Tamandua tetradactyla: one gene and its partner. The protein of the gene in region 2 interacts with the protein of the main gene of each other region in a pairwise test. Links are inferred from orthologs where the notes say so. Each region holds a gene or a part of one and is shown on either strand. Other genes may lie near its edges.

What was found. The genes of interacting proteins can lie anywhere in the genome.
Region 1: the proteins of GLP1R (region 2) and SLC15A4 interact in a protein complementation assay, tested with the Homo sapiens proteins (2 studies listed by BioGRID). The link is inferred for Tamandua tetradactyla from reciprocal best matches to the Homo sapiens genes GLP1R and SLC15A4.

What each region holds. Positions count from the first base shown.
Region 1 is NC_135331.1:4,090,714-4,097,840, reverse strand, and holds the start of SLC15A4 (solute carrier family 15 member 4), read right to left. Parts: upstream 3,082-7,127; 5' UTR 3,006-3,081; coding exon 2,439-3,005; intron 1-2,438. UniProt on the Homo sapiens protein: Proton-coupled amino-acid transporter that mediates the transmembrane transport of L-histidine and some di- and tripeptides from inside the lysosome to the cytosol, and plays a key role in innate immune response.
Region 2 is NC_135331.1:96,428,868-96,436,406, forward strand, and holds the start of GLP1R (glucagon-like peptide 1 receptor), read left to right. Parts: upstream 1-4,488; coding exon 4,489-4,514; intron 4,515-5,812; coding exon 5,813-5,952; intron 5,953-6,699; coding exon 6,700-6,807; intron 6,808-7,539.

The DNA of each region.
Region 1 (7,127 bases), about 92 Mb from region 2:
AATAGTAAACACATATATACCCTATGCTTAGATCTTTAGCTCTCTTTTTCTGTGTATGTAAAATGCTTTCTACAACTGAGTCATTTAAAAAATAAATTGCAGCTTCATCACATTTCACTCTAAAAGACTCCATCATGTCTCTACTAAAAATAAGGGCCTCCTTCCACACAATCCCAACACCATCAGCACTCTGTGGAGCTGAACGTAAATACACCACTGTCTCCTTTGTGGTCTAGGCTAAAAATATGCCAATCGTCCCCCAAGAGTGTCTTATATGGCTTTAATTGTTGTGTCAATCTGGGAGCAAGTCATGGACCACATATCACATTTGGTCATCAAGAATCGTTAGAATCTTTAATCCAGAGTAGTCCATTTTTCCTGGTAAGGCTGTGACAATTGTGAATACACACATTAAACTTCACATCAAATGGATGCAGATGCTGGCAGTCACTCTCCAGCACCTCTACCTTCTCTGAAGAAGTCACCACTGGCCTCTCACCTCCCACCTCTAGGAGCAGCACTGACCCTGAAGGCAGATGGCCTGGTTCAACACCCACTCCCCACTCCCCACTGCGTGGCCCCGGGCAGTCAAATTCTAGAAGCCTCCGCTTCCAGTAACAGGGGGAACTAGAGTTTCTGCGTTCGAAGTGTTGTGAGGTTTAAATAAGACACTGTGGGAGGACACTCGGCTCACTGAGCGGCCTAAGACAGCCCCTCCTGCACACGACAGGGGCACGGCTCCGCTGTCAAAAGATGAAGACTGGCAGCGCTCAGCGCTGCACCCTTGCCAGTGGAGCCGGAGACAGGGCATCCTGGGGCCAGGGCCACAAACTGAGTCTGCAGAGCCCACAGATCTGCCCCTCCAGTTGCAGTGGTTACCCCACAGACTAACATATCAGAAGTGGCCAATGAAACCCTAGCTTGACCACTCACTACCTACAGGACAAGAAAGTTCTCTCATATCCTGTGCCTTTTTCCTTTTCTATATAACAGAGAGAAGATTCCACTGAGGTCAGATGAGATCAAGCACGGAAAGCCCATGCAAACAACAAGGGGGACATTCAATAGTCAGGCAAGGATTACCTGAATGCCCTTTGAAGGTCTCTCCCTGCTGTCTGCCCTGGAAATACACGGGCTGAGGAGAGCTCAGATTCAAAGGACAGGCCTTTGAACACCAGCTCAGGCACTTACCAACAGGCAGCTTTGGGCAAATTATTTAGCCCCTGCAGCCTCAGTCTCCAGGTCTGTAAATGGGCACACCCTCAGAACTCGGGCAGCATGATAAAGCCCTGAGTAGGGCCTGGCACACAGTACGCCTTAGAACGCCAGCCAGAGCCAGGCAATCACACAGTTATTTAGTGCAAAAACCTGGGAGCTTTTTTTTCTATTGCTCACACTCAACCCACCAGCAAGCTCAGCCCCTCCACCTCCACTTCTCACCCTCATCCCCGCACGGCCTCCATTCTGCAGCAGCCCTGCTCTCTTCACTTCCCTTAATCCTATTCTCTTTGCCAGATGCCAGCCAACATTTTTGTAAAGGGATAGAAGTGAATATTTTCGATTTTGCAAGATGTGGTCTCCTTCACAAGTAGTCAATGATAACACTGTATCGTGGGAGCAGCCAAAGTGTTGACAATAGTGGACAGGAGTGAGTGGGACTGTGTACCAATACACTTCATTTACACACAATGAAATCTGAATTTTAGATAATTTTCACGTCACAAAATAGTCTTTTGACTTTTTCAACCATTTAAAAACATAAGAACCATTCTTGTTCCAGGGTTCTACAAAAACAGGAAATAGATGAGATACTCAAATTCTTAACCAGGCCTTATGCCACCAGCCCTGCCTACCACTCCTCTCTCTTCCCACTTCTTCTCAGCTCATGTCTGGCAATATCTGGGGAGTCCTTTCTGCTCACCGGCTCAGGGTTTTGCACTTAGGGACCCCCCTGTGCCGGGAGCTCTTCCAACAACGGCGCCTGCACAGAGAGACCTTCCGGCTAGTGAAACCCCCTCCCATCTATCCTCCAGCCCTCCCTGAGTTGACTCCTGCCCCGCTCGACCACAGCCCGTCCTCCTAGTATTCTTGCACGCACGCTTTCGTGAGCTTTCTCCCGCCAAGACTGCGGCCCCCTGGTGAGCAGGGGGCCTGGTGCGGCGCCGGCCCGGAGGATTCAGCGGACGAGCGTCGCTCGGGGAGGGGACCGGGTGGGCAGGGGACATGGCGGGCCGGGGGCGCGCGTGGCGGACCAGGGGGGCAGGGGGCGTGGCGGGGTGGGGTCGCGCGTGGCGGACCAGGGGGGCAGGGGGCGTGGCGGGCTGGGGGCGCGCGCGGCGGACCGGGGGACAGGGGGCGTAGCGGACCGGGGGCGCGCGTGGCGGACCAGGAGGGCAGGGGGCGTGGCGGGCCGGGGGCGCGCGCGGCGGGCCGCTCACCTGGTCGGCGCCGAAGGGCGTGATGTTGGCCTTTACCGTGCCCACGCTGAGGCCCACGAGCACGAGCGCCGCGAAGGTGGTTGGCGCGCAATAGCGCGCGGCGGGCGGGCAGGCCGCGCGGGTGCCGGCGGGCGCCGAGCAGTTGAGCAGGAGCGCGGGGCGCAGGGGCCCGCAGAGGGCGGTGCGCGCAGCGGGAGTGGCCAGCCCCGGGAAGGCGAGCATGCCGAGCAGGTAGAGCGCCAGGCTGAGCAGGATGGCGCGCGCCTTGCCGAGCAGCGCGTCGGCCAGCCAGCCGCCGAAGGGCGACACGAGGTAGCTGACGCCCATGAAGAGCAGCAGGGCCTGGCTGGCCTGCGCGCCCTCCCAGCCCAGCGGCGCCCCGTTCAGGAACAGGACCAGGTCAGCCGTGACGCCGTAGAAGGCGGCGCGCTCCAGCAGCTCCGTCAGCAGCACGGCAGCGCAAGCCGCGCGCCGGCCCGCAAATGCCGAGGCCGCCCGCCGCGCCCCGCGCCCGCCCGCGCCCAGCAGCGGAGTCCGCTCGCCGCCAGAGCCCTCAACGTCCTCCATGGTCCGGCCGCCGCTGCCGCCCCACGCGCCGGCTTCCCCAGCCAGCCGCCGTGGCCCGCCTCTCGGCGTCGCCGTTGGGCGCGCTCGCCGTCTCTCAGCCCGCCGAGCGGCTTCCGGTTCCGCCCGGGTCCCCACCATATCCCGCCCCGCAACGGGCCGCCTCGATTCGCCATTGGGTCTGGTCGCCATCACGCACCAGCGGAACACTTTCAGTCCCGCCCCGGAAACCGACAAATCCACGGCTCTACTTCCGCGGTCTGGATGCGCTGAAGGCGCGAGGGCGCTGGCGGCGTTTTGGGATGATCGTCGAGTCTGGCACGCAGACGCTTCAAGTCCTCAGTGGACACCACGGGCAGCTAAAGCAAGCTCCGTACAAGGGCCTCGGGGCTCTGCCTGCACAGCGCCCGAATTTCCGCTGACCCAGCCTCGGTGGCTTTTTGCCGTCCTGGGAGGGATTTTCTCAAGCTCCGCACTGTTGACGTTTGGGGTCTGGTCCGTGTGTGTTGCAGGGCACTGGCCAGTGCGTTCGAAGCACCCCCGGCCTCCCTCCTACAAGATGCTCCACCCCGATCCCAGTTGCGGCCACCAGAAATGTCCCGGGACGCTGCCAGATGCCCCCCGGGGAGCAGACTCGCCCGGCGAGGACCCTGACCCCAAGGTCCAGGCTTTTCAGGCCATCGCGGAGACACTGTCCCCAAACCACCCGTCATCTCGCTGGCTGGCGCTCAGCTCAAACACTGCCACTTTATTCCCTCGCATTACCCAATTTTATTTATTCCATAACACCCATTGCATTTTTTCTCTTTATTCCGTCGTTCAGGCTCTCCGCTGGCAGGTATGTGTTCCCCAGGAGTGTAAAGAACACGGAGGTGGGTTCTTCACCATATTCCCGGAGTCTCGGACTGTAGCTGGCATGTGGAAAAATGTAGTTTAAGAGTGTCACCCAATAACATTACAGAAACTTACAATCTCCAGATGGATCTCTGGACCAGATAAGTCCTGAAACCTAGAGAACCAGCCTCTCCAGAACATCAGCTATTTCCATCTCCCTACCCCATGTTATCCACAGCCCCTTCCAACATGAAAAATTCTGAATGGTCATAACCCAAACTACCCCAAAGAGAGGTATGGAAAGATCACAGGTGATGGTGGAGTTACACAGAGAAGATAGGATTTAACAAATGAATAAGAATGCTGAATCATTAAATTGATATCTCCTTTAGTCTCCAGTATTTTAGTTCAGCTAGAAGTAAAAACCTAAAATTGTGAAACTGTCACCCATGTCAAAGTCTAAAATATGTTCTACAATTAATTGTGCTGCTGTGCTTTGAAATGTATTGCTTTTTTGTATATATGTTATCTATCAAAAAAAGGCAATTGTGATAAAAAAAATACTTATTCCTTCTAGCTTCCTATATTCTGGAGCAGCTAGAAGGAAAAATCTGAGCGGATGGTATTGAGATCTGTCTTGTAACCACTTGTTGAAGAGTGCTCTCAAAATTACTGCTTTTTTCTGTCTTTGGTATGTAAATATGTTATACTATAGAATAAAAAAAAGTTTTTTTAAAAAAAGTGTCACCCCAAAATGACCCCCAGCATGACTTCAGAAATTGGCATCTGCAGCTGCAATGATTTAAGGAGTCTGAGAGAACAACATCATTTCCCTTTTATTTTCTCCATCCTCACCTCCTGCTAAGACCCTGATGAAGCCATTACCTAAAGAACTGGGCTTCCCCACTGGTAATCTGGATAAGTAATCCTGCCAATAAGGCTTGAAATAGCATTATTATCTAGTTTTTGTATTATTTTAAGTGCCTGACATATGGATTAATGCCTTCCACAGTGCCAGCACACAGCAGGCAATAGTTTTAATAAAAAATTAATGTGAGAATAATTGAATGCCAGAACAGGGATCTCCCCCACCCCATCCTTCAATGCTAATGATTTTTTCAGTTCTCAGCTAAGCGCCACTTCCCAGATCCTCCCAGACTAGAGCAGATTTCCCCTTTCACACGTCTTTAATGCTCCCTATACTTTTTTCACACCACTCATTATAATTTATAATTATTTTGTGAAACTATTTGCTTAACCTTGGTCTTCCCCAACAAGTATGAAACCTAGCAGTGTTTGGAAATTGTTTTGTTTGCCACCACTATACCCTCAAAATCTAGCACAGAAGGTGCAAATAGTATATATCTGTGGAATTAACTAAATGAATGAATGAACATCTGTTGAAAAGTGTTCTAAGAAGAACATCTTACGTTCACCCTTCTCTTTTATTGTTTATTATTATTATTATTATTTGGAGATTCCCTGTGATGTTTTAGGGCATTTATTAGTATCCTGGTTTCACCAATGACAACGCACACTCCTCAATATTCTGACCAGGGACACATATCTAGGAAGAGACAGGACTCAGACTTCAATAAATGGGTTGTAATGAATTAACTGCTTCCACACTGCAGCTGGTAGATGAGACCGAACCTTTGACTTTATGTTCTTAGACTAACAGAACTGACTCACTCCAGCAAAGGCCAGAATAAAATTAACACTAAACATGGAACGAAAGCAAAGCCATTAGATTTGGATCATCTGCGATGACTTCATGTCAAAACACTGCCCAATACGGATGGGCCATTTTGGTTCACAAACGAGCCCAATTTGATCATTTCACTTGTAAAGTATGAATAATGCTCAGTGAAAAAATAAGCAGGAGGGTGCATGGGTGGTTCCGTGGTAGAATGCTTGCCTTCCATGTGGGAGACCCGGGTTTGATTCCTGGACCAGGCACCCCCACCCCCACGACCCCCCAAAAAAGCAAGGAGTTCAGAATGTGTACCAGGAATACTGGCAGCACTTGGTCTCAAAAAGGCTGTATGTGGCAGATTCTGATATCTTGAGATTGCAAAAAAAAAGAAAAAGTCCAGCATGCAGAAATATTTTACTTTGGTTGTAGTACTTTAAGAAAGTGAGGCAAGACCCCATATTATATGGTTCCATTTATATGAAATGTCCAGAATAGGCAAATCTGTAGGGACAGATAAGCAGATTCACAATTGGGGTTGGGGGAGTGGAGGGAAGGAAGGTCACTGCTTCCATTTTTGGTACAATGCAAATGTTCTAAAATTGATTGCGGTCAACCCTTTCCAACATGAAAAAGTTAGAATGGGTATAGTCCAAATACCACTTTCTCTCCACATGGAATGAAAGATCAAAGGTGACGGAGTTATACAGAGAAGGTCGGGTTTAACAAACGAGTATGAGTGCTGAATCATTATACTGACACTTCTTTTAGCCTCCAGTACCTTTGAGCAGCTAGAAATAAAAGCCTAAAATTACGGAATTGTAAACCCATACCAAACTCTGAAATCTGTTCTACAACTAATTATTTTGTGATACACTTTGAAAATTTATTGCTTTTATGTATATAAGTTATTTAAAATAAAGAGGAGGAGAATAACAAAGATAGATAGGATTTAACAAATGAGTATGACTGCTGATCATTATACTGATATTTCTGTTGGTCTCCAGTGTCTTGGAGCAGCTAGAAGAACAAAGAAAAATCATGGACCTTTAACCCATACCAAACTTTAAAATCTGTCCTATGATTACTTGTGAAAATGTGCTGGGAAATTTATTGCTTTTTTATATATATATTTCACAATTAAAAAAATAGCATTAAGAAAACATACTCTTTAGGAGAGGGTATGAAAGAACTTGTGTTCACTTAATTTAACAAGAGGAAGTATTAAGAAGCTTTACATTTTCTAGCCTAATGGGAAAAATATATCAAGTTGATATAAACTTAAAAAAATATTGATTGTGGTGATGATGGCACAACTCTGTAAATATACTAAAAACTATTGCTTTGTAGAATTTTATGTGGGTGAGCTGTATGGTATATGAATTAAATCGCAATAAAACTCTTACCAAAAAAAAAAAAAAAGAGAGAAAAAGAGCTAACTTAAAATTTGGAATGCCCTGCTGCTCTCGAAAAAATCTGGAAGCTTTGGCCACACTGGAGCCTGTACACTAGTGCCTATCTCCATAATCACACGGAACTGCAGAACTGTCAGCAAACAAAATGGTTGTTATTTTTAATTTCCTAAGTTCTGGGCCAGT
Region 2 (7,539 bases):
AAGGCACGGGCTCGCGTGGCCTGTCCTGTGTAGGGAAATGTCTCTTCCATCATTCCCACCCTCCCACCCCCCAGACCTGAAGAATTTAGATCTTTGGCAAGTGGGCCTATAGAGGCCTTGAAATTTGTCCCAGATTAGGTAGGAGGCAAGATAAGGGACCATTGGTTTGGTTCTGACTGGGGCCCACCACCCGTGGTTGACAATACAGATGTGGATAGATGTGCCTCTCAGCTAAGGTGCCAACACATTTTCAGCCCCCAGATTCTTTTCCAGACTCATTCCCTCCCTATCTCTGTCTCCCAGCCTAGCCACTGCCCCTAGATCCGGGAGAGACGCTCTCCCTCCCCTCGCACCTTCCTCCCACCCTCCGGGCAGGCCTTGGCTTCTGTCTGGAGCTGGTGTGCTTGGGTCCTGGACTGGAGACACGTTTGGAGATTCGGTTTGGATTAAGAAAAGAGGAAAGGGTTCTCTGGGCAGCCTGTCTTCCTCCCCAAATCCCTTTTCCCAGAGAGTCAGAGTCCTGACTCTGATCCCCCCCCGTTCTTCAGCCCTAGTCTAGGGCAAAAACTGAGTGTCCTAGGGCCATAGCAGGGCTGAGGCTGCAGGAAAGGGCAGGAGGAGACGGTGTCCGAGCAGGGGAACGTTGGGGGCTGCTAATTTGTGGAGCACTGGGCATCCATGGCCATCCCAGAGATCTGAGTGGCAGGTGGATTTGAGGTTAGACTGCAGTGATTATGACAGAACCTCAGGCTTATGTATAAGGCTTAAAATTGTCAGGGTGTTTTGCTTTTCATTCTCTGTCCATGAGGTGTACTTCTTGCATGTTGCTGAGAGGACGGAAAGCTCAGAAGAAGCAATTTGGGAGCAGAGAGGAGAAAGGGATGTGGGGCTGGCCTCTTGGCATAATACCTCTTGCTCAGGTGGGACTGAAAGAGGAATGCTTCAAGTGAGCTGCTTGCTGTCAGGTCTGGAGAGGCTGGAAGCAGCTTCCTCGGAGGCAGGGAGATGGCCCAATTGACCTCTGAGGAGCGTGGCCTACATCACCCCTTCATTGTTGGTGAGAAGCGCTATCCTCTTTTCTGTCCCTTAAGCCCTCAAGACCCCTGTGAGGGAGCTGGTCTCTTAAGGAGATAGGCAAACTTCTGACATCCAAAGTTAGGACCAGACAGAACTGGGTTCAGAGACCCGGTCTGCTATTAGCTGGTGATCTTGGGTAGGACATTTCACCATCCCAACCCTCGGTGTCCTCACCTGTAAGTAGGGATCATATGCTCTACCACATGGAGTTATAGACAGGACTGAGACACTGACTCCCTGAAATAGCAGCTTTAGTCACTCGGGGAACTGACCTGTTTGTCCTCAGGAATCTGGAAGCATTCTGGGTGGGAGCCGGCGTGGGGCTGCCGTGCTCTGCAGCGGGTCAGCATAGCAGATGGAGCCCAGCGCCATGCAGCCGTCAGGGTGGACTTTGTCCTGAGCAGGGCTCCCTCCCGGACATGGACCCAGGGTGGGGGCCAGGGCCGGAGCCACCAAGAAACCACATCCTGCCCTCGAAGGCCTTGCACTGAGGAACACCAGGCCCTTCCTTAGTTGCAGCCTGCCCCAGGCAGACCCCTGCCTCGGTGTGTACGTGTACATGTGAGGGGGGAGAGAGAGCCAGAGATGCAGAGAAAGAGACAGGTAGATAGGAAGAGAGGGTGGGGGCACAGGGAGGTGTGGCCCTATGAGACCCTGAGTCCCTGTGTCTCTGTACGTGACCCTGTGTGGGCTAGTCTGCCTGGGGTGGGGTGGGGTTACTGCGTGGGAACCGTCCCAGCATGTGACTGGGAGCCTGATGTATGTGTGACCCTGTGTGTGATGCGGTGTCTACTGGAGGCTCTCTGTGTGTCAGCGTGTGTGTGAGTTGTCTCGGTGTGTGAATGGGTGTCTGACAGTATGTGTCCTTGTGTGCGAGGGAATATGCTTGTGACATGGTGTCCATGTGGCTGTTTGTATGCATGTGTGGGACAGTGTGGGCTGAGTGTGTCAGTCAAGAGGTGGGGGGGGGCAGCCTCTGAGCATGTGTCTGGCAGTCTGTGTGTGTCCGTGTGGGTGAGAGAGACAAGTTGTGTCAGCATCTTAGTTTCTAAGAGTGTGCTTGGCGGCATGTGCACCAGTGTGTGTGGCAGTGTATCTGTGTGAGAGCTTGTCTGCATGTGAGAGTGTGTGTGCCATTTTCCTTTTCCTGACCTCTGCTCAGATATCTAAAACCATTTTTTTTAAATGGGATGGAAGAGGCCGGGACCTGGCAGCCCCACCCCCTGGGGTGCAGGGCGCAGACCCTGCTGGAAGGCCTGTTTGGGCTCTGTGAGGTGGGCAGAGAGGAAGCAGGCTAGGGGCCCTGGGAGGAGATGCTGGGAAGCCTGCAGGGCTCAGCCAAAGTGGGAGGTCCCAAGAGTTTGTCTTTGGAACTGTCTTGCTCCCTTCCATTTCGCCTACCTCGGTGGCCTAGAGAGGTAGAAGTTTCTTTCCTCCTTCCCCTCAACCAGAACAGCTCTCAGAAAAGTAAAACTGTAGGAGGAATTTTTCAGGTTAGCAGCCAGTGTTAGGAGAGTGTTGTAAAGCTTCCACTCTGGCATCCTTCCCCTTCTCCTCTTCACTGCCCACTTGTGCAGAAACTGCTAATCCTGGAGATTTTCACTTACTTTATCTTTTTGGGTGCATGCAGTAATGCTCTGAAAATAATGACATGCCCATTTTGCAGATGGGGAAACTGAGGCCCCAAAATACAAAGTGTGCCCCATAGGTCACATTAACGGGCAGAGCAGGGATTTGAATGAAGGACATGTGCCTCTCTGTCCAGTGCTGTATACGCATACACTGCTCCACTCCCTCTTGGCTTCTTCTCTCTCCCCTGTTGCCTTCTCTTAAAGCTCCTGAGCCTGAGAGACGCTCCCTCCAGTCCAAGTCCCCGGTTGCCTTCATCTAACTCTGAGAAATCCCATGAAGCTGGCAAGTCCTGATTCTAAAATCTTCCAATCTGCTTCGGCCCTGGCCCCACAGGTCCCCACCCCGTCCCTGCTCTGTTCTCTGGGCCAGCTCTGCTGTCCTGGGAGGGACAGGGGGCCTCCACCATCATGCCTCCCCATCACCCAGTACCCCCAACCCCACCTCAAGGGAGGATGAAAGGGGGCCATAACTGGTGGATAGGGTCTTCTCTCTTCACCGTCTTGCCTACGGCCAGGGCCCTCCCACTCTACCTTGCCAGTGGCTGGGATCCCTGCTAGAAGAGATCACAAATGAGGCAGCATGATTGGTCCTTGGGCACAAAAAAAATTAGTTTTTTCCTTCTGAGAGTTTTTTGGTCTTAGAAGTGAGGGTGGAATGGGGTCCAGACTCCCCAGCAAGCCGGAGCAACCTGTTCCACTCTGCCCTCGCCTTAAACAGCAGATACCTTGAGAAAGGCTGCCACTGACAGCATTTTCCATGTGCGAGGGGCTGTTCTGTGCATCAGCTCACTTACCCTTCACAGCAGCCCTGTGGGGGTGGGACCAGTATTATCCCCATTTCACAGATGTGTTGGCTGAGACTGGAAGAAGTTAAAAGTCTTGCTCAAGGTCACAGCATATGGGGGAGCTGAGATCAGGCCCTGGGACCTGCTGGCACTGGGCAGCCCCCAGCCTCCCTCACCTGCATCTGACCTAGGTCCTGCTTGCCAGAGCCTCGATGCTCCCACCTCCGGACGTTCGCTGCATCCTCCTGCCCCCCCTCCACTCCCAACCCCCAGACTCCCCCAGGCTTGGAAAGCATTTGACCCTCACCCCCAGGGCTTGTCCATCCTGTGACCCTGCCTTGGGCCTGACACTGTCAAGGCTTCCAAAACCTCCAGTCAGCGGAGAGGCCAGAGGTCTGGGTAGCTCGTGCCAGGGGCCGGAGGCTGGGGGAGTCAATAAACAGTATTTGGCGGCTCTGAGCTGGTGCAGGGACAGGACACTGGCCCTCGGGGAGCCCCAGTATGAGGATGGTTTCATGCCCGCAGCTCTGCCAGGAACAGGGTGACAGGGCTGCCTCGGTCTTGATGCTCCCTGAGTGTGGGTGGCCTCCGCGGTGCCACCTCCCTCTCAAGCCATAGGAGGTCTGGTTCCCTGGACTTCCTTGCCCCGCCCCCTGCCCCAGCTCACCTTCTGTCCCAGTTCCCAGCAGTGACCTTGCTTCCAGCCTGCTTTCCTCAGTAGAAACAGAGATCGAGGGGAATTTCTGTCTGTCTCTCGGCCCTCCACCACCAACAGCTGCTGCTTTCAGGGGCAAGAAGGAGGAGACCTTCACCAGGACACAGAGGGGAGAGGAGAGGAGGAAAGGAAGGAGGCAGGGTTGATTGACCGGGACAGGCTCTTGTGAAAACCGTGTGGCCCCATCAGCTATGGCTAAAATCATAGCTCTGCCTTGAGTCCTTTGATTTTCCCCTGAATCAAATACACTTGATCTTTTCCTAGAAGAGTAGGCCCTACCATGGCCCTCGGCAAACTCGCTCCAAGGTCAGCTGGACACAAACTTGGCCTCCTCTTGGAGCTTCCTGTGCAGCTAGGGATGAGGACAGGAGAAATCCCACCCCGTGTTCTTTTTCCTTTTGTATTGCTGAGGGAGGCAGGAGGGATGGTGTCTCAGAAACCAGGAATCAGCTTCCACCAGGCAGGGTTACCCAGAGCACCCCAAGTCAAGGGTACAAACTTCTAAAAAGAAGCTATCTTCATTTCCACACACACGCAAATTTTTGTGATTTCAAAAAGTGATTGTTTTAAATGACATACAGGCCCTAAATGATATCTGTAAGTGCTCCCATGTTCACTTCAGCACCTGCAGCCTCTAAATGAGAAATATTTATGTTCTTTAAGGCTGTTCAGAAGAAAAGAAGAGACGAATTACAGTCCCAAGACATATCTTTGCCAAATGCAGAAAAATGTTCCGAAGGGACAATTCCTACTCTGCCGGGTTTGTTTGGGCTTGGGTGCTAAAAAGCCAATTCTTACCTTATCTGAGAAATGAGGCTCACATCCCCCTACCCACAGGCAGGGGAGCGCCTTCCATTGAGGCCTGCCCTCAGCGTTCTGGAACCTTTCTGACCCCTCTGCCCCTGGGCCCCAGGGCTCCTCCCTGTGCTTAATAGAAGCCAGGCTGAACATTTGATCTGTGCCGCTGTGCCAGGCAGGAACTCTGGAGGTCATGATGCCCTCTCAGGTGACAAGACTGCATTCTGCAGGAGGGGTGTTAAGGGTAGACTTTCCAGCCTCTGTAGCATAGATCCCACCACATCCCACAACCTCCAAATTCATAATTCTATCATATTCACCGATCTAGGGAACTCTGAGTCTTAGCTCCCTGTAGTGCTGTGTGACCTTGATTGAGTTCTTTCCAACTCTGGGCCTGTGCATCTCCTCTGCAATGGCTAAAAGTGCAGCAACCTCCCAGGCAGGCTGACTGGGCACTGGAAGAAAAGGAATTCATGCAATAGCAGAGCCCAGGGCCCTCAGGGAGTCTCTCTCCTAGCGGAGGTCTGCTGAGACCAGGAATAGACAGTCTCCCCTCGCTCTTTGCCCCTGCCCCAGAAACCATCAATTCAGTAGACACATGCTGGGTACCTACTACATATCAAGCTGTGTTCTGGTCCCCTGGGAGGAACAAAGATGTAAAAATATCTGCCTGGAGCTTCTGTGGAGGCAACTGGTTCTCTCCTTCCTTTCAGAGATGCCCCAAGTCTGGTCGACTTAGGGCTCTGAGGACCCCTGGAGATAAAGAAACCAAGTATTTGGGGTGAGGGTGGGGTGGATAAGGGAAGGGCAGGCTGGACACATAAGGCCCCATTTCTGCCCTTCCCCCAGGGTGCCACTGTGTCCCTCTCAGAGACAGTGCAGAAATGGAGAGAATACCGGCGCCAGTGCCAGCGCTTCCTGAGTGAGGCTCCACCCCCGGCCACAGGTGAGTCCAGGTGGGGACCCCCAACTCCTGAGAGGCTTTGAAACCCCCCAAGATTCATGGATGGTGTCATCTGTCTCTCTCGGATGCCATGCCTCTCTGAAAACCTTCCCCCATGCTTCCATTACTTTGTCCCACCTGTCCCCTCACCTGGAAATACCTTCCTGCCCCACATCAACCTACTGAAAAATGACAGGTCCGGCCCAAGGACTTACTTCCTACAGAAAAATTTCCCCAACGAATTTCTGTTGTCTTTTGGCTCTTACCCATTTGCCCTGTTGCCAGCTTTGGGAGTTGCTATCTTCTTCCCTCCCCTTCCCCCCCCCCCCCCCACCCATGCCCAGCTTTGTGTCCTCCTCAGCATTCCTAGCATGCGCTTATGTTCCCCCCTCATTTTGGAAGTGTTATTGAAAAATGGGTCCATAAGGATCATTTATCGAGCACTCCTTATGCTCAGATATCTGAGTAACATGCAACGTTTACCCCGCAAAGCCCCATGCAGCCCATTTTACAGATGAGGAAACAGAAAAATTCAAGGGCATGAAGGAACCTGCAAGAGGCCCCACCAGGTAGCGGCGGAGTCTGCCTGTTTGGCTCCTGCTGGGCCGCGAAGGTGCTTGGCATGCAGGAAAGCACTCGGCAGAGGTTCGCCCAGTGCAGGCTTCTGTCTTGTCCCCCAGCGGCCTCCGCCGTGGCAGTGGGGAGTGCCCCAGCCCGGCGGAAACTCACAGATGGCCCCCCTTCACCCAGGCCTGTTCTGCAACCGGACCTTCGATGACTACGCGTGCTGGCCCGACGGGCCTCCCGGCTCCTTCGTGAACGTCAGCTGCCCCTGGTACCTCCCCTGGGCCAGCAGCGGTGAGTCCCCCCCACACCCCACCTCTCTCCTGCATGCGGGAGGCTGGAGATGTGGGTCTGCTTCTTTTCCTGTGAGGCACCCCGTGACGTCTTCAGGCCTTCTGGGGGGGGTCTGCCTGCCTGTCCTTGGGGGGAGAAGGGAGGGCAGGCGGTGGGGGGATCAGGCCGGTCAGGACCTGTGCTGGTGGGTGTGTGGGCATGCGTGTGTGTGTGTGTGTGTGTGTGTGTGTGTGTCGGGGGGTGTCTGGAGGTTGCTGACCTAAGAGAGAATTATGGCCGTCCCTCCCGTCAAGTAGTCAAGGAAAGGGAACAGGTGGGGACAGATGCTTGGGAGGAAGGGCCCACGGGGATGTCCTTGCTCCAACGTGCACATGTGCCCGTGTGTCCGGCGTGTGCAGGATCTGCGTACATGGATGCTCGTACCTGGTGGAGGTGCCCAGCCACTCCGATGGGCGCAGCAGTCAGGTGATAATGAGGCCACCCCTCAGGCCCTCCCCACATCTGTCCTGCCTAGCAGCAGAGGCCAGAGATCCTGTGCTGGGAACGGTGTGGTTGCCAGGTGGGAGGTCTGATGGGGTACAGAGACCCCCAGAGGCTGCGGGGGGACCCCTGACTGGAGCGGCACTTGCTGTGCTCCCCAGAGCCCTGCCCGTCTACCCCAGGCTCTCATGCTGGACCCAGGCCCCGCCTGGCACCAAGGGGGTTCATAGGAGACAAGCTCTCTCGCCTTAA